Arabidopsis thaliana: one gene and its partner. The protein of the gene in region 1 purifies or fractionates together with the protein of each later gene. This does not show direct contact. Each region holds a gene or a part of one and is shown on either strand. Other genes may lie near its edges.

What was found.
Region 2: the proteins of OXP1 (region 1) and AT2G47390 fractionate together in Arabidopsis thaliana (co-fractionation; one large-scale study listed by BioGRID). This does not show direct contact.

Annotation. Positions count from the first base shown.
Region 1 is NC_003076.8:15,054,351-15,064,255, forward strand, and holds OXP1 (oxoprolinase 1), read right to left. Parts: upstream 6,517-9,905; 5' UTR 6,335-6,516; intron 6,186-6,334; 5' UTR 6,176-6,185; coding exon 2,688-6,175; intron 2,598-2,687; coding exon 2,285-2,597; 3' UTR 1,838-2,284; downstream 1-1,837. Other genes in the region: AT5G37840 (plastid movement impaired protein), read right to left, coding at 7,842-7,895, 8,387-8,977. UniProt on the Arabidopsis thaliana protein: Catalyzes the cleavage of 5-oxo-L-proline to form L-glutamate coupled to the hydrolysis of ATP to ADP and inorganic phosphate. Acts in the glutathione degradation pathway.
Region 2 is NC_003071.7:19,439,717-19,449,479, forward strand, and holds AT2G47390 (Prolyl oligopeptidase family protein), read right to left. Parts: upstream 6,650-9,763; 5' UTR 6,538-6,649; coding exon 6,231-6,537; intron 6,129-6,230; coding exon 5,147-6,128; intron 5,053-5,146; coding exon 4,924-5,052; intron 4,808-4,923; coding exon 4,508-4,807; intron 4,405-4,507; coding exon 3,946-4,404; intron 3,837-3,945; coding exon 3,771-3,836; intron 3,571-3,770; coding exon 3,510-3,570; intron 3,420-3,509; coding exon 3,270-3,419; intron 3,169-3,269; coding exon 3,031-3,168; intron 2,932-3,030; coding exon 2,639-2,931; intron 2,563-2,638; coding exon 2,562-2,562; 3' UTR 2,276-2,561; downstream 1-2,275. Other genes in the region: AT2G47370 (Calcium-dependent phosphotriesterase superfamily protein), read right to left, coding at 1-44, 124-565; AT2G47380 (Cytochrome c oxidase subunit Vc family protein), read left to right, coding at 1,978-2,172; CP12-1 (CP12 domain-containing protein 1), read left to right, coding at 7,173-7,547; AT2G47410 (WD40 domain-containing protein), read left to right, coding at 9,417-9,745. UniProt on the Arabidopsis thaliana protein: Serine-type protease active in vitro against the LHCII N-terminal. Cleaves its substrate on the carboxy-side of Glu residues.

The DNA of each region.
Region 1 (9,905 bases):
TTTATTAAAAAAATGTTAAATAGAGGAAAAATAAGAAGATAAGATAGAGACTTAGATAACATATGACATTCATAGTTAAATTATTAAAATAATATATATACATATATATGATTAAAAATATTATTTTACTTTACTTTTATGTGATTTCAAGATATTCGAACCAATAAAGATGCTCCTACTATCTAGGTTTTTTGATACTTCTTTTGTTCTTTTTTAATTTTCTAGCTTTTCTACTACCTATGAAGAATAGAAAATCAACGACACTTAGGCATGTTAATCATGCTAGCAAGGCCTAGTCCGACCTATATTTTGCAAGGCTTGTTGGGCTTGTTAGAATCGGTTCTCATGAACATTAACAAGTATCAACAACCATAAGAAACCCTTCCCGCTCGTATGAATGCTCATCATGTTTGTCTTGGAGAAAAATCTCTACCAATCGAATTGGACAACAAATTTGAAGAAGATGAAGAAGAGCATAAAGAAGAAGATGTTCCCAATATGTAATGGTTATGGATTATGACCAACTTCCACCAAAAGAAAGATCATTTTAATCTTGCTATATGTCGTAGTGTGCTGAATATCTCTTCTTTGTAATTCTACATACTAACGAAGATTTTAGTCTAATTTTTTCTTTATTTTATTTTATTTGTTATAGAAAGAAATTGGGAAATTGTACCATTGCTTTTTGTGGGGTAAACTTTTCTAATTTTCTAACACTCAGATTTGACAAAGAAAGATTTTGTCATATTTTATTTTATTTTAACTAATTCATACTATTAGAGTGCTAGAAAAGTCTCACATGGGAAATTGGATAATTTCTACACTAGTATATAATGTTTATGGGTGTCTCCACTCATTCTCAATTGTTTTTGAGTTGGATGCCATGATTCCTAATATGGTATCAGAACCAAGTTTTATTGAATCTATTATTGTGGCTCATTCTGGTTAGTTTCAATGCATACTTGGATTTCTTTAATGTTCATTACCAAGACCACTAGAGGATCATTGTAATTTAGTTTTGATCATGTAGGTTCATCGTTCCCAATCCTTTCATCTTGAGGAGGAATATTAAAGTTTATATAGCTGGTTTAGTTATGGTTTAATTTGGTTAATATCTTTGGTTTAGTTTGCTATGTATTTAAGCTTAATCATGTATACATTGACTTGAATAAAGAAAATATCTTTTCTCATATTATGTTTTCTCTTGAACTCTCCCTAATGGAAAATAGCATTAATATGGTATCAGAGTCCAATATTAGCGCAACAGACGATTTTTCACATAGACGATTTTTCATCTATGACATGTACAAGTAAATCATTTTGTTGTAATATTTCTGAGATAATGGACTTGATTCATTTTTATTGGACCGTTTTTCACCCATATCTTAAGAAGATTTATTAAAATATTAAAAAAATCCAACATAAAAGTTGGGTAATTTATGCATTAATAGATAATGTTCTATATTCATTCTCAATTAGTTTTGAGTTAAAAGCTTATATGTAAACAAATGTGACATTTGAAATGTCAAATACTAGATCCCGTCCGTAGGATAGACGGGCAAGTTCAAGCGTATGACCACCAAACTTTTGAGTTTATTGAAGGTCATATTTTTTGATAAATATAATGGATTTTAGCCTTTTAGGGAGCAATATTCATAAGCCCATGGTTTCATTTAAAACAATATCGTTTATTTTAGAAAATAGTTTGTGAAGGCCACATATTTCTAATTTTCCTTCTTTAATATGGTGGACAAAAAAAAAGCAAAATCCTTCATTTAATTGTATCTTACCTAACTTCTCATCTTTCTATCCCTTTTTTTGCCTTTTATTTTCTTTTGTATTCCTTTTAAAAATTAATTAGAATTCAAATTTACACAAAATAGGAAAAAATACATTACTACGACAAATTATACAAGGGGCCACTTTTTTTTTTGGTTGCTTCAGACGACTAGTTTTGTTGGACCGATCATAGCAGACACAAATCTCTTTTCAATGTCGACAATGGCATCAATGAAATCCAGCCAAAAGTCTTGGACCAGCAATAGTGATACATAAGTACATACAACAACAACTAAAACTTATTCACCAAGACAATTTATTACCTTGTTTCTAATGAATCAAGAATCTGATCCTTATTTCACTGAAAATGGCCAAACCTCCAAAGAATATCCGGCTAAGAGACACCGAAACAACAACAAGACACATAAACAACTAATTTGGATTATACGTTAAATGAAGGAGTAATGAAGTTCGAGAAGAGACTTATGAGGAGGAGATGAATTGTTTATATGTTGGAGCCGAATCCGCCACCGCCTGGAGTAAGAATCTGTAAGATTTCACCGGCTTCTACGTGTACCGTATTCTTGCCTCCAAGATAGATTCTTCGTTTGTCTTTAGTGATGAGATAGTTTGCTCCACGGAGTCCATTTTGGCCACCGTTCAATCCACGTGGCGAGTGAACTCTTCTCTCTGAGAGGATGCTAACCACTACAGGCTTTCTAAACTCTATCTCTCTCACCAATCCATCGCCTCCTTTATGCAACCCATTGCCTCCACTATTCTCTCTCAATCCAAATCTATGCAACAGAACCGGGTACCTGATAAAAACCCATGTGTTAGTCTAGTGCAAGTACGTCTGACCATTCAGTTTTTTTCATAGCTACAGAACTAACAGGATGTTTCAGCACCTTTGCTCAAAGATCTCGGGATCAGTCATCCGCGTGTTAGTCATATGGCATTGGACTCCGCTTGTCCCGTTCCATGTGGGTCCGGCTCCGCATCCACCACCAATGGTCTCGTAGTACCCAAATGTGTCGTCTCCAAATGTGAGATTGTTCATGCATCCTTGGGAACAAGCACAAGCCTGGAATGCTGTTAGGACAACATCTGTAACTCTCTGGGATGTTAGAACGTTGCCTCCAACAACAGCTGCTTTTTCGCTTGGAGACAGGAATGAACCAGCGGGTATGCGGATCTCAACCGGAGCTAAGCAGCCTTGGTTTAGCGGAATGTCGACATTAACCAAACAACGGAGGCAGTAAATAACCGCTGCAGATGTAACTGCTTCTGGGGCATTCCAGTTACCGTAGACTTCCGGGCTTGTGCCTGTAAAGTCAAAGGAGGCTTCTCCTTTGTCGGCATCAATTGTGAGTTTTAAGTGAATTATGGATCCATCATCCATGTAATCCTCTTCTTCTATGGTCACGGAGTTACCAACCCTGGAATTTGGTGTTTCCGAGGAAACTCTATTAGCTACAGACTTCAGCATTTCTCTCACTGCTTCTTCGGCGTTAAGCTGAACGTATTTCATGTAAGCCTGAACAGTTCCAAGGCCATATTGCTCAATCAGCTCTTTAATTAGAGAAATTCCTCTTTGGTTTGCAGCTATCTGAGCTTGGAGATCCGAGAGATTGTCCTGAATCCGTCTGGTTCCTGGAATCTTAGTTGTTGTCTCATCAGAAGAAGGGAATTGAAGAAGTTTTACAATTCCTTCTTCCTGAAAAACACCTTTTTCAACAACTTTAAATGCTTTTATCGCAGCTCCTTCCTCCCAAATCGCCTTTGAGAACGGAGGCATGCTTCCGGGAGTTATGCCTCCTACTTCTGCGTGGTGACCTCTACTAGCCACAAAGAACACAAGCTTTCCCTTGTCAAAAACAGGTGTGATAACGGTTATATCAGGCAAATGGCTACCACCGGCGCAAGGATGATTTGTTACCAAAACATCTCCTTCGTTCAGATTTTCACCCCAATGTTTGAGCTGCCAGCGAACTGTACTGGACATGGCACCCAGATGAACTGGAACATGTGGCGCATTAGCAACTAAGCCACCGTCAGGACTAAACAAGGCGCATGAAAAATCCAATCTTTCTTTGATATTTGTCGATATGGAAGTACGTTGCAGGGTTCTTCCCATTTGCTCAGCTATACCCATGAATCTGTGATTAAATATGGATAGCTGAACAACATCTGCAACATTCTCTGCAAGCTTCACACTGCTCGTTGCTGGCTCTACCTCAATTTTAATGTTTCCATACTTTGTAATGATGGCTTTGCACTGAGGTTCTACAATAACTGTACTGTTCCCGTTCATGATGATCGCAGGGCCGAGAATCTCATGGCCAAAACCTAAATTCTCCAACTTGAACAACGGTGTGTCATGCCATCCGCCTTCAAAGTAAACCTTGTAGTGCCTTTCAACCTTAGGAGTGACAGGGGCAGCTTCAACTGCCCGTGGTTTTAGTATACTAGTCACTCCAATTCCCCGAACCCGAACATCACATATGAGAAGATTTCTGTTTTGAAGTTTAAATCCATACTCTTGCTCGAAAAGCTTGAGAAACTCTGCAGCATAATCAAATGCCGACCCATCTCCAGTTTTTTTACCCTTTACCATGATAGCTGTATCTGTCCCATCATATCTTAAGTTCAAATATGTCTCAGTGGAGATATTTCCATCACCAAACCCCTGTTCCTGGAGCTTTTCTCTCACTTCTCTCAGCAATACCGTTTCCCTTCTAAAGACCTCTGAAAGAGATTCAGGGCCATAAACAGCTGAATATGGCTCTTGAGCATCTTCAATGACATCTGCCAAACCCATTCCATAAGCACTCAAAATTCCACAGTATCTGTGAACAAGAACTTCTTTCATGCCCAAAGACCTAGCTATTGCACAAGCATGTTGCGGTCCAGCACCTCCAAAGCATGCGAGTGCATGATTCTTTGTTTCATGACCCTTCATCTCTGTCAGTTGCCGTATGGGACGGCACATTGTCTCGTTAGCAACACTCACAAAACCCATTGCTATTTCCTCCACAGACATGTCTTTTGCAGATGGATCCTGGCTCTTTCTATATATATTAATCTGTCCTGCAAGCTTTTCAAATGCTTCTCTTGTTGCTGCTACATCTAAGGGCTGATCTTCATTGGGCCCAAATATGGATGGAAAATAATCAGGAATAACAAACCCCAAAACAAGATTCGCATCAGTAACTGCTAACTCACCTCCTTTCCGGTAACAAACTGGACCTGGGTGAGCACCCACAGAATCAGGTCCCACTCGGAAAGCACCAAACTGAAACTTTAGTTTCGACCCACCACCGGCAGCAACGGTATTTATGTCAAGCTGTGGCGCTTGTATAATTGTTCCAGCAATCTGAGTTTCTATAACTTGCTCATAACTTCCATCATAGCGGCTAACATCCGTTGACGTACCACCCATATCAAATCCAATCAGCGGTTTTTCAGTTTCAAGACCAAAGAGTGTCTGTGAGTAACCAACAACTCCTCCTGCTGGACCTGATAACACAGCCTTATGCCCTGAAAACCTACTTTCTGGTGCTAAACCTCCATCAGATTGCATGAATAAAACATTCACTTTCCCAAGATCATCATCAAATTTGGAAATAAAACCCGACAAGTACTCTTTAATCACTGGTGTCAAATACGCATCCACAGTAGCTGTTAAACCCCGAGGAACAGCCCGAACCATGGGTGTCAAAGCAGAAGACAACGAAACATGTCTAAAACCCATCTCTAAAGCCAACTTCTCCACATCCATCTCATGCTTCGGATAAGTATACGAATGCATCAAAACAACAGCCAAACAACTTATCCCTTTATCAAGCAAACCCTTCAACAAAGGTTTCAAACCTTCTCCATCAAACGGCTTCACAACTCTAAGAAACTCCCCAGACACTCCTTTAATCAACGACCCTTCATCATCATCATCATCTTCCAACGCAAGCACAACTCTTTCATCAACCTCTATAACCTCCTCATAAAGATTCGACGGTTTCGCAACAGTAAGATCAAAAATATCAGGTCTAGCTTGATTACCTATCTGCAACAAATCTTTAAACCCTTTAGTTACACACAAAGCTATTCTTTCACCTTTCCTCTCTAACAAAGCATTCGTTGCCACAGTAGTTCCCATTCTAATCCACTGTATCTTATCAGTTGGTATCTTCGACGTTCTTGGTATCTTCTTCCCTGTATACTCCTCGAGTATTCTCCGAATTCCTTCGACCGGAGCATCGTCGTAATTCGATGGATCAACTGATAAAAGCTTCAACACATGACCATCGGAATGTCCTGGAATCTCAGCGTATACATCAGTGAAAGTACCTCCTCTATCTATACAAAATCTTAGCTTTCCTTCGATTACAGTTCCCATCTCACTCTCTCTGCATAACCCAACAACGAAATTACACTAAATTACCAATTCACAACAACGATATTGAGAGATCATAACAGCAATTTTAGATAGTATCGATTAAAATGAAACTACGAGAGAAGGGGTTTGTAATCAAAATCCAGATATTTATGAAAGTACCTTGCTTTGGTGGCGAAGATCGTTGAAGGATCGAGTTTTAGCGAAGAGTCAACAGTGTAGTGGGTGAATGATGAAGAAGATGAATCAGGTGGTGATGATGATGAGAATGTGAAGGATCTTCTTTTGCTTTTCCGGTTTTACTAAACCATTTCGGTTTTTGGTTGGTTAGAATTTAAAACGGATATAATCATAAACCCCACGGTATGAATGAATGTGTTGGCCTAATTTGTGTAATGTTATCTACTGGACCGGATCGGGATATTCGATTTTGAATAACGAATTATTAACATTTTAGAGGCCACATTTCTATATAAATTTATTGTTTATTTACTTTTTAATTAATATAATTAGATTATATGATGAAATCTCCTATAATATCATACTTTAAAATTATTTCTTAAAACAGATGTGTATATCCATATTACGAAACTTTACATACATACTAATATGCACATAAGAAAAATCGTTTTTTTTTGTTACATGTTGGGAAAATATAAAATTGTAAAATACACTAATTATAATGATTTTCTAGTATTTTAAATCATATTTTGTTAAAACCAAAAAATTGAGTGTTAAGTAAAAAAATTACAAAAAAACATATATCTTTTTCACTCTTCTTCTTTTTTAAAGGACGAAAAATGACTAATTAAAGCTTTAATTTCAATTTTCCTTCTTTTATAGGCACACTCTAGGTTTGGGATATATGTTTAAACTAAAATGTCATATAGTTACAAGTTGCCTTAAACCTCTCAAAACATGGGCACACCATTTGCCTTAAACTTCTCGAAACATGGGCACCAACCCGGGAGCAGAGTCCCCACCGGCAAGGGGGACATGAGACTGCCATCCCCCTTTTATCCCGCGGATTCCGTTTTTTGTCCTAAAATTTTTGAGCTAGGTTAGTCATAGGATTATTTGGAAACACGTCTTTCCTATTCCATCTTTTCTCGAATTTCCTAGTAGATAGGTACATCATCTGTATTTTAAGCCCACCACTATGTGAATGTGCGATGTTTATCTATTAGACCGGATCAGGATATTGGGTTTAGCGCGAAAGTAGGCCAATAACCGTGATATCCCAATTTTGATTTTTACTATTACTCAGATTCGAATCTATCGCATCCGGATATCCGATTGAATTTTGGATCCGGATCTAATTAGCCTAATAAAGTTTGATACATTAGGATTGAGTTAGCGTAATTAGCTACTACACTATGATATATATTGGGATTGGATAGCTTAAGCATATTTAATTGAGACATTGGTGGACGCATGTTAAAATTATAGCTCATGGGCGGTAGTAAAAATTTGACTCGAACTTTCTGAATGTTGATTAAAAATTGGTGGTAAATGTCTCATTTCGTTTTTGACATCATAGTAGAGATGATAGCTAGATATGCCCATAAAAATATATGAGTCCTAAAAACAAATAAAAAATAAGAATCCTAACAAATGCATTTTGAAGTAGTGGACAATATGTAATTGCTGGCTACTCTTGCTTTGTACTTCATAGAACAACGATCTCTCCTCTTCCTCCTTTCTCTGCGAAACTCACATGCTTCTGCATTTTATTTGGAACAACAACGTTTTATAAAATGTCAAATACAAACAAAGAGATCTCCTTTAGTTTGCGTGTTCATTTCACAAATATATTCATGGCAAAAAAAATATAAAAAAAATATGAGTTACAGTTTGAAACAACGAAACCCAAAGTACATTAAATGCGGATTTGATGTTTGATCATATACTATACATAGTGATAATTCATCATACGTTCTGGTTCCAAAAACTTTAGGCAATTGAGTAGCATAAATATTAATGTCTTCATGACTATTGCATGTAGTTTATTGGTTTGTAATAGTTTCTTTGTTGATGTGTCACCATTTATATTCAAATCGGATAAAATGCATGTTGTTGGAAAAAAAACGTAATTTCAAATATTTAGCTATGCTATAAGACCTTTGTTTTAGTTATGCACTTATGCTATATATAAGACCTTAGGATTGATAACTTCAAATGTATTTCGATCATGTAATTTTCTCGGACATTTACCTCTCGTGCTTTGTAATGGTTGTTTATCTCCGCAATTCCAAGTCTCTGGCGAAGGCCATCGTTATCCCTACCGCCTTGTATCCCACCGGAACTCTCCATATAAGCACTGATAATCTTCGCTGCCACTTCCGAAGCATCATGGCTCTCTTCCATTAACTTTGTTATCTGAGACCTAGGCAGCCTTAACCTCACCCTCGTATGTCCAAGCTCAGGCCCATCTCCTACTACGTCAGATCTTGCTGCACCAACATCAGAAACCGTTCTCCTTGAAAGCATTAACATCTCTAAACGCTCCTTTGCGCCAACATGTATATTACCGGACATAACTCTCCGGTATGGAAGCTTATTCCTCTTATCTACCGGTGGAAGGTCCACCAAAAAATATGTGTGATTAGGCTTTAATATTTGATTCGGCTCTAGAGGTTTGGCGCGAACTCCTAATCGTTTCACGGTCTCGGAGTCTAACAGCACGAATCCGGGATACTCTTTCGTGGCGTCACTCGCCGTCACCGGAGTTTTGAGCCGGAAAATATCGCCGTCGATCTTCATAACTTTCACCTTGTTTCTCCTCACCATTATAGTGTTCCCCATTTTTCTGTCTTTTTTGTTGAATATATCTCATAAAGCATGCAACGCTATCTATTTATATGTTGAGGAGGATTTGGTTCAAGCTTTTTGATTAGTGTGTGAAGCTTTGATATTCTCTGAGATTCCTCATTTTTTAATAAAGTCTAACGTTGAATTTAATTAACTAATTATGTTGAAAAAAAATAAACGTGAAAAAGTCGGTCGATTGCGATACATTTTCTCATAGCTTTTTTCTTTTAGGCATTTTAAAAAGTAATCAGTAGTCGCCATGATTATCCTAATATTAACGACTAGGTACGTACGTTACGTTATATTCAATTCTGTTAGGCGGTTATCCAAGTTATACTCGGTCACCGTGTTATTATAGTATAGAAATTCATCCCAAACAAAAAAAAGTATTGTGATGAAGCTATTGGAACTCACCTAAAAAGTAAGAAAATCATACATCTATTTAGAAACTACGACATTTTGATCATCTATATGTATGAAAAATATGTTTCACAGATGAAATATGAAAAATATGTTTCAAACTTTATATTGGTACTTTATCCATATAGAAAGGATATTCGTCATCGCCCATCAAAGTGCTTCCAGTTCCGAAAAGACTTGTTTTCTTACAACTAACATCATCTTTTTGTTAAGTTGTAGGTCAATCCAACCTGAATTACTCTATCGTTCGGCAACTTTCATGACCGTTCTCCTAGAAGGCTAGATAGTTTTGTACGTCTCATTGTCTATTCTAAATCGATTCTCTAATTTTCTTGCTCCTTTTCATTCCTTCCTCTTATTTTTTTCCGTAAATCATTCTAAATTATGGCTCCGTACACAAAAAAGCACAAGAAGAGAAAGTGGAATATATACCACATTTAATAAAAGAAAAAGTTCACATTTTGAGTTGTTGTTACATAAGGTAGTACGTACCAAAAAAACA
Region 2 (9,763 bases), on another chromosome or scaffold:
TTGTGTATCAACAGCTACATCGTCTGCGTATGTTATCTCTTTACCTACATTGCTTAAATCATTTGTTTGCTTAACCAACAAATGATTAGAGAGACATAAGCAGAGAAACTACAGAGAGCTTACTATGGCTGCTAAGCACTGTGAGGAAGAGACGACGCCACGTGGACAAATCATAGGCCACTAAAGCACTATAACGATTTCCAAGCAAATCGCCGACAGCGAGGAGGAGACGGTTTCGGTGGCGGTCGATGACAAATCCGTTGGAAGAGTTACCGGCGAGGTCAACGTCTTTGACCAAAGTGACTTCCTTAAGAACGTCGTCGGAATCTTTAGTAGGAACAAGCTCGCCGATACCGCCGCCGCCGTCCATGTAGGAAACGAGGAATCTCCGACCAACGTCGTCCCATTTGGCGCACTCGCGGAGGAAGCCGGAGCTGTGGTAAGAGATGACGTGCGTGGAAGGAACAGCTTTCTCTGAAGAGATAATATAAGCTATTGGAACGGCGGAGAGAATGAAGAAGAAGAGAGCGACGGAGTATTTGCCGGAGCAGCAGGACGGCGACATTTTGAAAAAGACAGTTATAGAGAGTAATAAATTGGGTGCGAGGAAGACCACCTTAAGAAAGTGTGGAATAGATACAGAGAGAGTTTGGTTGGTGAGCGAACATTTGGAAAATATGGGGCCCACTTACTTAGATGCACATACAACCTTGCACTAGTTTTGGCGGCCCGTTGAATGTATCATTGGGCCCAGAATCTGTGTCCAGAATTCAATACGAATAGTTACATTTTGTATTTTTGATTACTGTTGTTTCATGTTTGTACCTTTTTACCAATTTAATGCCCTATACTATTTCCGTTGAAGCTTTAAATTCACAAGTTGGTTATATATTAGGTGAGCTGAAAATATCATTTGGGCCATTTACTTCATACAGTTGAGAAAATATTCAATTTGACACGTTTTTTTTTAATATAGTTGTATCGTGTTTTCTTATTTATTAGAATTAATTTCTGTCAATATAATAATTTGTGGTTTTGCTTTCTTTGGGTCGCATCAAATGTTAGGTGTTTTGAAATTTTGATGATATTATTATTTTTAGACAAAATTGACTGGAGTTGAACAGTAATGGGCCGGTCTCAGATGTTAGCCCAATAGGTTGACAGAGAAAATGTATGATCCATGAGAGTGACTAAATTAAATTGATTAATCTCTTGCGCACACCTGAATCCTCGTCTTCATTCGTTCCGGTCGTCGTCTACACCTCCACACTCCGACTTGGTAAATCCCCAGACTCATCTCTCTCTCTCCTTTTCTTTTGATTTCTAGATTTGCTAGTTTGTTTCGATTGTTCTTCTAGATAGAAATTAACGAGTGATTTTTGATTTAACCGATTCGCATCAATGCCCCTTCTTCTTATTGCGTCGATCTCATGGATCGGGATCCATCGTTCCTCTATCTGATTTCTCTTGTGGGAAAGAATTTCAAGCTTTATGGTTTTGTAGTAATGAACGTTTATCATTTTCGTTCGAGGGAAGATTTTTAAACTTTCGTTATGCGGATTCTGGATATTAGGCTGTTTTTTTTTTTTTTTTTTAATCGATTGAAGGATGTCAATTTATAGATTGGGCTGTAGATTGCTAGTTTATGTCATTGATATTGAATTGTAAGTTTTTCGATCTTCCAGTCATACAAATCACTAATTGCCTCAAGATAGGAAAATCCATTGGCAGTATATAGATGGAGTTCATATCTTAAGCACAGGTTTATATGGTCATTACATTTCTAGCTTTTGTTTGTTAGGACTGATTCATGTTGGGTTTTTGGGGTTATTCTTTATAACGGGTCATGCTTGTATATATGTAGTATCAATACATTTCTGATTTGTGGTTATGCTTGATGCAAAAAAGATCCAATCTTTCGAGTTGGTAGTGAGTTACATTTGTTACTTTTGGTAGGTTGAGAAGAAGAAAGAAGAGATGGCAGGACACAAGGTTGCACATGCGACATTGAAAGGGCCTAGCGTTGTCAAGGAGTTATTTATCGGTTTGGCACTCGGTTTAGCTGCTGGTGGTCTTTGGAAGATGCACCATTGGAACGAACAGAGGAAAACCAGAACTTTCTATGACTTGCTTGAGAGAGGTGAGATCAGTGTTGTAGCTGCTGAAGAGTAATTAAGCCGCTCAATAACTGGTTCCTGAAGATTGTTTGATTTCCATTTCTGTCTTTTTTTTCTTTTTTTTGTTGGGTTCTTAAGAAATAAACAAATCTGAGAATGGGATTTGTAACAAATTCAGATGTGATGTTCATTCAGACATAATCTCTTTTGTTTTGTTTCGAGAAATTACAAAAGGTGAATATTTATGAAACTTATTGATCGAAGTTTTGCACTTGAAAGAGTGTTTCCAGCATTTCAAGTAATTCAAAAACTTTTTTTCATATTATTATGAATCAATGTTTTGTATGAAAAATAAGTTTGTGTTGCATCTGCCTTTTTTTGTGCTCTCTGTTTCTGCAAGTGCACTCGCATGCTGCATGTGGCTAGTGAACCACTTTTGGGAACTCTGAAAAAAGTATAATCAAATGTGAGAATTCTTGTGGTTTTGTTTTCTGTTTGGGAATGGTGGTGAGAGAGTTTACCAGAGAAGTGATCTCCTGAGCTTGGAGTGAACTTCATGCTCACCAAACTCCGGATTACCACCACCTGTGCCTGTGGATACTTTGTCTGCAGAATCTGACCCTTCTTTGGACTGGTCGGGACTTGTATCTGCATCTGATGTGTTTGGAACACAGTATTTTTGAAGCCAACGGTCAGTTTCCCAGAGAACGTGCATAATGCTTTCCCGTGCTGAGTACCCGTGGCTCTCGTGAGGAAGAACAACAAGACGGCAAAGAGCGCCGTGGCCTTTTAGTGCATTGAAGAATCGGTCTGACTGTTATACAAAGTAAGTGAAATGAATACAGTTAGAGAGAACCAATCCAGTGATAACTTGGTGTGAACCAATCCTTTCAAGTGATATCAATGAAGTAACCTGCATTGTTAGAGTTCCTGGGTTATTGTCTTCTTCACCATGAATAAGTAAGATTGGCTTCTTGATTTTATTAGCAGACATGAATGGGCTCATCTCTACATAGACGTTAGTGGCTTCCCACAGAGTTCGGTCCTCGTTCTGAAAATTTACAGGCATAGTTAAAGAATAACCAAAAAAGCGAAGTAAATTAACTATCAAAATGCAGAGAATGAGAGGAGAAAGACAATTGGTCTTGGCACCTGGAAACCAAAGGGCGTGAGTGTTCTGTTGTAAGCCCCAGATCTGGCAATCCCGCAGGCGAAAAGATGAGGAGCATGAGCAAGAAGATTTGCAGTCATAAAAGCTCCATAGGAGTGTCCCCCAACTGCAATTTTGCTTCGATCAGCCACCTTGAAAAAAGAACAAACAATAGTAAGTTTCAAAACTGTTGGGTTTCATACAATACCGAGGTGATGGATTTAGGATAAAGCAATGCTTACTCCACGCCTGACGACTTCCTCTACAGCAGCTTCGGCACTTGCCACCAGTTGCTCTACATACCTGATTTTTTTTTTCAGTTGTTCACATTAGAATCTGTCAAGCTCAAGCACATCTCAGATCTGAAACTTACATGGTTTGATGTCACAAGTTCCCACTTAATTAGTTTGCTTATGCTTATAGGAAGGAAATCTTTAACCAAGACGATATCACTGGTTTCTATGTTCTAGCAACAAGCTTTACGAAAGTAAATATCACTTTACCTATCATTAGCCTCTTCATCACCTTCACCAATTATAGGTATAGTAGGTCCAGATAATATAGCAAACCTGCACAGTGCAGACAAATCCAGATGGTATAAGCTAACACTCGATCAACAAGCTCAGTGATATAGACCCCGGCACACTGAAACAGCAAAAAACAGTATCAATGCTAAACCTTCTAGCAAGCCAAAGAAGGGCAGAAGTTGATCCAATGCCTGCAAATTCATTTGGCGAGCCACGGACTTGACCAGCAGCATCTTTACTCTTGAATTCACCAGGATAAGACCAAAACAGACAAGGAAGAGGACCGTCTTTTGATGGATCATAGCCTGGTGGTAGGTATAGTGTTGCAGTAAGTTGAACCCCGTCTTTCCGTTGATACCTGATCATCTCTTTCTGTAACGAAGCCAATTGCGGATACGGATGAGGAAAGTTTGTAATCTGTTGCACTTTCCTATCAGGCCAAAGTTGGAGAGAATATTGGGTGTTTTCTGTTTTAGACTCCTTTGATGTCAGAATTTTCAGCTCCTCCATTTTTAAATCCCCTTCTTTTTGGTCAGACATCAAGGCAACAACTGTCTCGAAATACTTTTCCTTGTCGCTCTCCCAGATTCGTTCTTTGTTGCCTGTATTTCTAGATAAATTTTGTACAGAACATTCAGTTTGTTATCGCTTAATGGCAATAAAAACAAAAAGAGAAGCAAAAGAAAGAGAAATCATTGTCAGGTTGGGCTTACATGTCAAACAAGTCAAGGAAGGGCACATTCCCTTGTGGTGTAGCCCCACTTCCGTTCAGTAATACATAAGTGCCTTCATCATTTTCCTTCTTTATCTTTGCTATTACATACGTTCCAGCATCGGTCCTTCTCAGCATGGTTGAGCCAGGGTCTGAGTACACATCTTCCGATGATCTATCAAACAAGATGCGTGGACTGACATCGTTAGATCCAGGAGAGATAACCCACGTCCTTGTTCGTCGTGTTTTATACCATGATTCATAAACCAGAGCTAATGTATCATCACACCAAGAAATCCCTCTGCAGAATTGAAATCGGATCAATGTTAGGACATAGAAGGCTTTGATGAAGTTAGTCAGTTTGTTGATAAGATGGCATAAGTAATCTACAATATCTGCTGTGTTTTTAGTTGTTACCCATAACGAAGATCGAGCTTGTGTAACACTTCTGGTTCTTCTCCTGCCAATGGTTCAGCAGACTGCATATAAACTATATCACGCGGTGAAACTTCCATTTTGGCATCACCTCCATCTTGTGTTTCTGCCCTACATATCTCAGAAGAGTTGTAAATTAATTACTTCCAAATCCCATTTTGGCACGTGTACTACATGTGATTCACTTTGAATCTCAAATATATACCAGTAGAGGGTTGAAGGCTTGTCTGCTCGCCAGTTTATTGAACGCATTCCTTTCCGCACACTATTGGAGGCAATGGGGATATCTTCAGCCAAGGGCAAGTCACATAGCTGTCTTACAAATCTACCATCAGTTGTCCAGACTTCCACCTTCTTTGGAAATCTACCACAAGGTACAATGAAGGAATATGGCCTGTGAAGTGATGACACCAACAAGTACTTATGGTCTGTCGAAGGGTCTAACGATGTATACACTGCAGGAACCCCTACTTCCTTCACAGTACCATCCAAAGAAGCCAATACTAGTTGTGATGAAGCGTAGTAGTCAAATAAATCAGCATCATACTCATCCTTAAGCAAATCTTGGAATGTTCTAACTTGGACAACAGTCTTCGTCTCGTTTGACAGAGTTTTGGGACCAGATGGCACCAAAGGTTTCTTTGGTGGTTCTCCACGAGATGAAGGGATTGTGCTCACCAACAAAGTGGAATTATCAATCCAAACAAAACTCTCAAAAATCGCATTCAGAAAAATATCTTGCGAGTTAAACAATGGTCTAGCTACTCCAGTCTCAACATCAGCTACCCATACCACTGGCTTACTACTATTTCCGTTCTCATCGACCCGGATGCTGAAAGCCAGATGCTTACCGTCATTGGACCATGTAACAAAGTTAATCTTACCACCATCTGGAATGCCAGTGATCTCCTTCTCAGGACTCAATGTACCATCAGGCAATAACTGATGGATTCCTAAACCAGTATAGAATGACATTCTGCTTCTGGTATTGCAGTATCCATCAATTCGAACACCAGCAAGCTTCTCCTCTGGTCTAGCTAAATCTGCGAGCGGAGGCAATGCTCTCCGCTTGAGAAACAATATCTTATCCCTATGTGGTGAAAATGATAAAGCCGGGACTGGTGGAGCATCTACAATATCTCTGATCTCAGGTGGAGGCAGACGATATCCAGTGCCTATAGCCAATTCTACATAGTTCAACACACAAACAAACAATCAAAAACGATTTCTCAGATTTCAATTCCAGTGACAAGTAACTCTATACACAAAAATATTCAAATCCAAGTTACCATCATCTTCAGTTGCAGTAGCAGAGGCTGATAGGGAGCCATTAGAGGTTCCACCACCGTCTTCAGCACCTCCAGAACAGGCAGATGCGAGAGAACGAAGCCTAGAAGCAGAACGTGAAGCCATGACAGTGGTCAACGGGTTTTCGGAGAATCGGCGAACTCTTACGCAACGTCGTGTACTCAGAGTCGAGAATCCGGAAAGCTTGGGAAGTAGAAGGAGAGAAGAAGCCGGTGACGGAGACGGCGGAGATAAATGGCAGAGAGGTGAAAGAGAGAAACGATGACAAGCTTTATGAAAGCGCATCATCTTTTTTTAATACTTGACTTTTTTAACCTTTTTAAAGTGCTCTGAATGATTCTCTCTTTTTCTATTCGACGGTTCACTAATCAAAACGACGACTGTATCTGTATGTATTTTTAACCAGGAAAACAAAAAATATCAGGAAAAATATCGGTAGTGGTCACTGCTTATGTGGGCCTTATCTATGGCCCAACTAGCGCTTATTTCCTGGAATATGGCCCATTATAAGTCAGTCGTCCTCCCCCTTTTTCTCAACAAAATGAAATACTCAAAAATATAGTAATTATTAATTTATTATGCTACTTTTCATGAGAAGTTTATGTCTATGAAAATTACAGAAGAGAAAATGATAACAAATTTTTATTATTTCAGTCAAAAATTAAAAAAAAAGCTTCTATAATTTTCAAGAAAAAATGTTCAACGGCTGATAAAATAAATATTCCGGGGAAAAACTTATGTTTCTCAAATTGGTAGAATACTACTTTTTGTGAAAAAATCTAAGTACACGTGGCAAAATATGCTTGGTTCTTAGAAGATAAGAGGATTGTGTTCACAGAGTTTAATAACGTGAACGAGTATATTTTATCTTCTTCATCTCTTCACATCAAAAAACTTTTCTCCTCCATCAAAATCCTCCGACGATGACAACCATAGCTGCAGCTGGCCTCAACGTCGCGACTCCACGAGTGGTCGTTCGACCTGTGGCTCGTGTATTAGGTCCGGTCCGGTTGAATTACCCGTGGAAATTCGGTTCGATGAAGCGGATGGTTGTGGTTAAGGCTACATCGGAAGGAGAGATATCGGAGAAGGTGGAGAAGAGTATACAAGAAGCTAAGGAGACATGCGCTGATGATCCGGTGAGCGGGGAGTGTGTAGCGGCTTGGGACGAGGTGGAGGAGCTGAGTGCGGCGGCGAGTCATGCTAGGGACAAGAAGAAAGCTGGTGGCTCCGATCCTTTGGAAGAGTATTGCAATGATAATCCTGAGACTGATGAGTGTCGTACTTATGATAATTAAAAAATATGTTTTTGATGTTCGAATTATGAAACTTTAGGTATGGATCAATGTTTGTTCTTCTTGTCCCTTGTTGTTATGTTTGTGTTTTTGGTTTGGTTGATGATTGTAATGTGATAAATGAATATGAATAGTACAATACACAACATATGTTTCATAATGTGTTTGGTTCGATTACATTTGCAGTTTCGTGAAATTGATAATAAAAAACTCAATTAAGTTTAGATGAGGCTGAGATGATCTTAGGTCACTCGCATACGTTCCTTATTATTTTTTTGTGGATGTGGAGATGTATGTGTCAAAACGACGTTGAGCCGAGAGAAAGATGAATTGATCGAGAGTTTCTTAGACGGTTTTAAAATTGCTGCCTTGCTGGTATGGGAATTAATCTTTGGTTTCAACAAGATGGGTAACAACAAACAAGCCCATGTAATTATGTTGATGCAGTGTAATGGGCTTTATCAAGCATGGGCCGATGTACAAATTTGACATATAGAATAGAACCAGTTTGTGGCCAGCCTCAAGGTGATGAGAAACAGTAAATATATTAAGGAATAAGTGAACTAAATAATTTGACAAAAAAAAAAACACCTGAAATGTATACAATTTTATTGTTTGATAACAAAATTTGTGAAGTTAAGTGAATGAATTCAAAATCGTTTATCTTCTAGCATTAAATTGATTAATCTAAAGTAAATGATACGAGTGTGCTTGTTTGATGCTCTTCTGTGTTATTTTGCAAATTTGAATTCGTTCACTTATATATATTTTTGGCGGTTCAGAAAAGTAGATTTTAACAAGAAAAATGCATCGGCACGGTATCACCAGTTAAAATCTGAAGGTAAAAAGGTTATATATGAATTTGTAAGAAAACAACAAAAATTAAGCCGATCTATTTGTCGGCCCAGCCGCTAAAGAGTCAATTATACCCCTATAATTCTCACGCGGTTTAAGAAAATGCAACAACAAGTAAGGGGTGTATCTGTCTTCTCACACATAAGATTTTTTTTTTTGCTTATTAAAACTCTTACGTATTGTTGTTTCCTATTCTCAAATTTGTATTTTCCAGATTTTCCAGAAAAATCTCACAGCGGTAAGAAAAAAAGAAAAAGAAGAGTCAGTGGTCTTGTTGTTTCGTTCTTCCTTGTTCGCTCGACCTGGCCGATGTCTAACCAGGACCAGGAGACGCGCACACAATTCGCAGAATGTAACGTTGTTGCTACTCTTCTTCTCTCGTTTCTGTGACCTAAGAACCATTCGAATTCGCTGCTCCGTCTCTCTGGTTTCGTCCTTGAAAAATCGTCTACTCGAGATTCCTTTCTCTAGCCACCCATCTCAACTGCTGAGTAGCAAGCTGTATTTTTGTTGACCTAACTAAACCCTAGCTTCTTCGAGGTTTTCTCTTGATTCCCTTGTCTTTTCTAGCTCCCGAATTTGCCAGTTTTACTTGATTTTCATTTTTCATGTGTGATGTGTGTTTTTCTATGTAATTGGATCTTAGGGTTTTTTGATTTGGGAATAACTCTTTGAAATCGCATTTAAGATTGTGTCTCAATGCTTTTTTACGATCCAATTCCTTGAGATGTTTTGTAGATTTCTTTCAGTCGCTTAATTAGGGGAATGATTGGATGATCCTTCCTGTGTAGTAGGAAGAACAGATAAAGTTACATCAGATTCCAATTTTTAAAAGAGAACCCTAGTTTACTATTAAGTATGTGGACGATTCTATTTCATATGAAAGGTCTTGGTGTTATATATGTCATCTGTGTATATTTATCTAAAACTGAGTCAGTATAGTGCATGCTTTAATTGATGAGACTGTCTTTCACTTTGGCAGTGGCATTTTTTTGACGAGTGCTTCTCTTCCTTATCATGGACTGGATACACAAATCTACTCCTTTTATGGAACCTTCGAATTTGGCAAAACTGGTTCAAGGAAATGTTCCTCTTCAGCCACATGACAGCCATTCTTCGCTAACTGATCTAGATATGGACCTTAGAGAAGTCTATTTCCTGATTTTACATTTTCTTTCTATTGGCCCCTGCGAACGAACCTTTGGCCACTTGAGAGACGAAATTTTGGAAAAAGGGCTTTTACCCCGTAGATATCATTCCTGGTGGTCAAGAAGTGGCATTTATAGCGGGCGTGCTGATGATGATGGCATCTCCCTCCCCTTGAGTTATGATAATTTGATAGAGAGGTACTGTTTCTTTTTTTT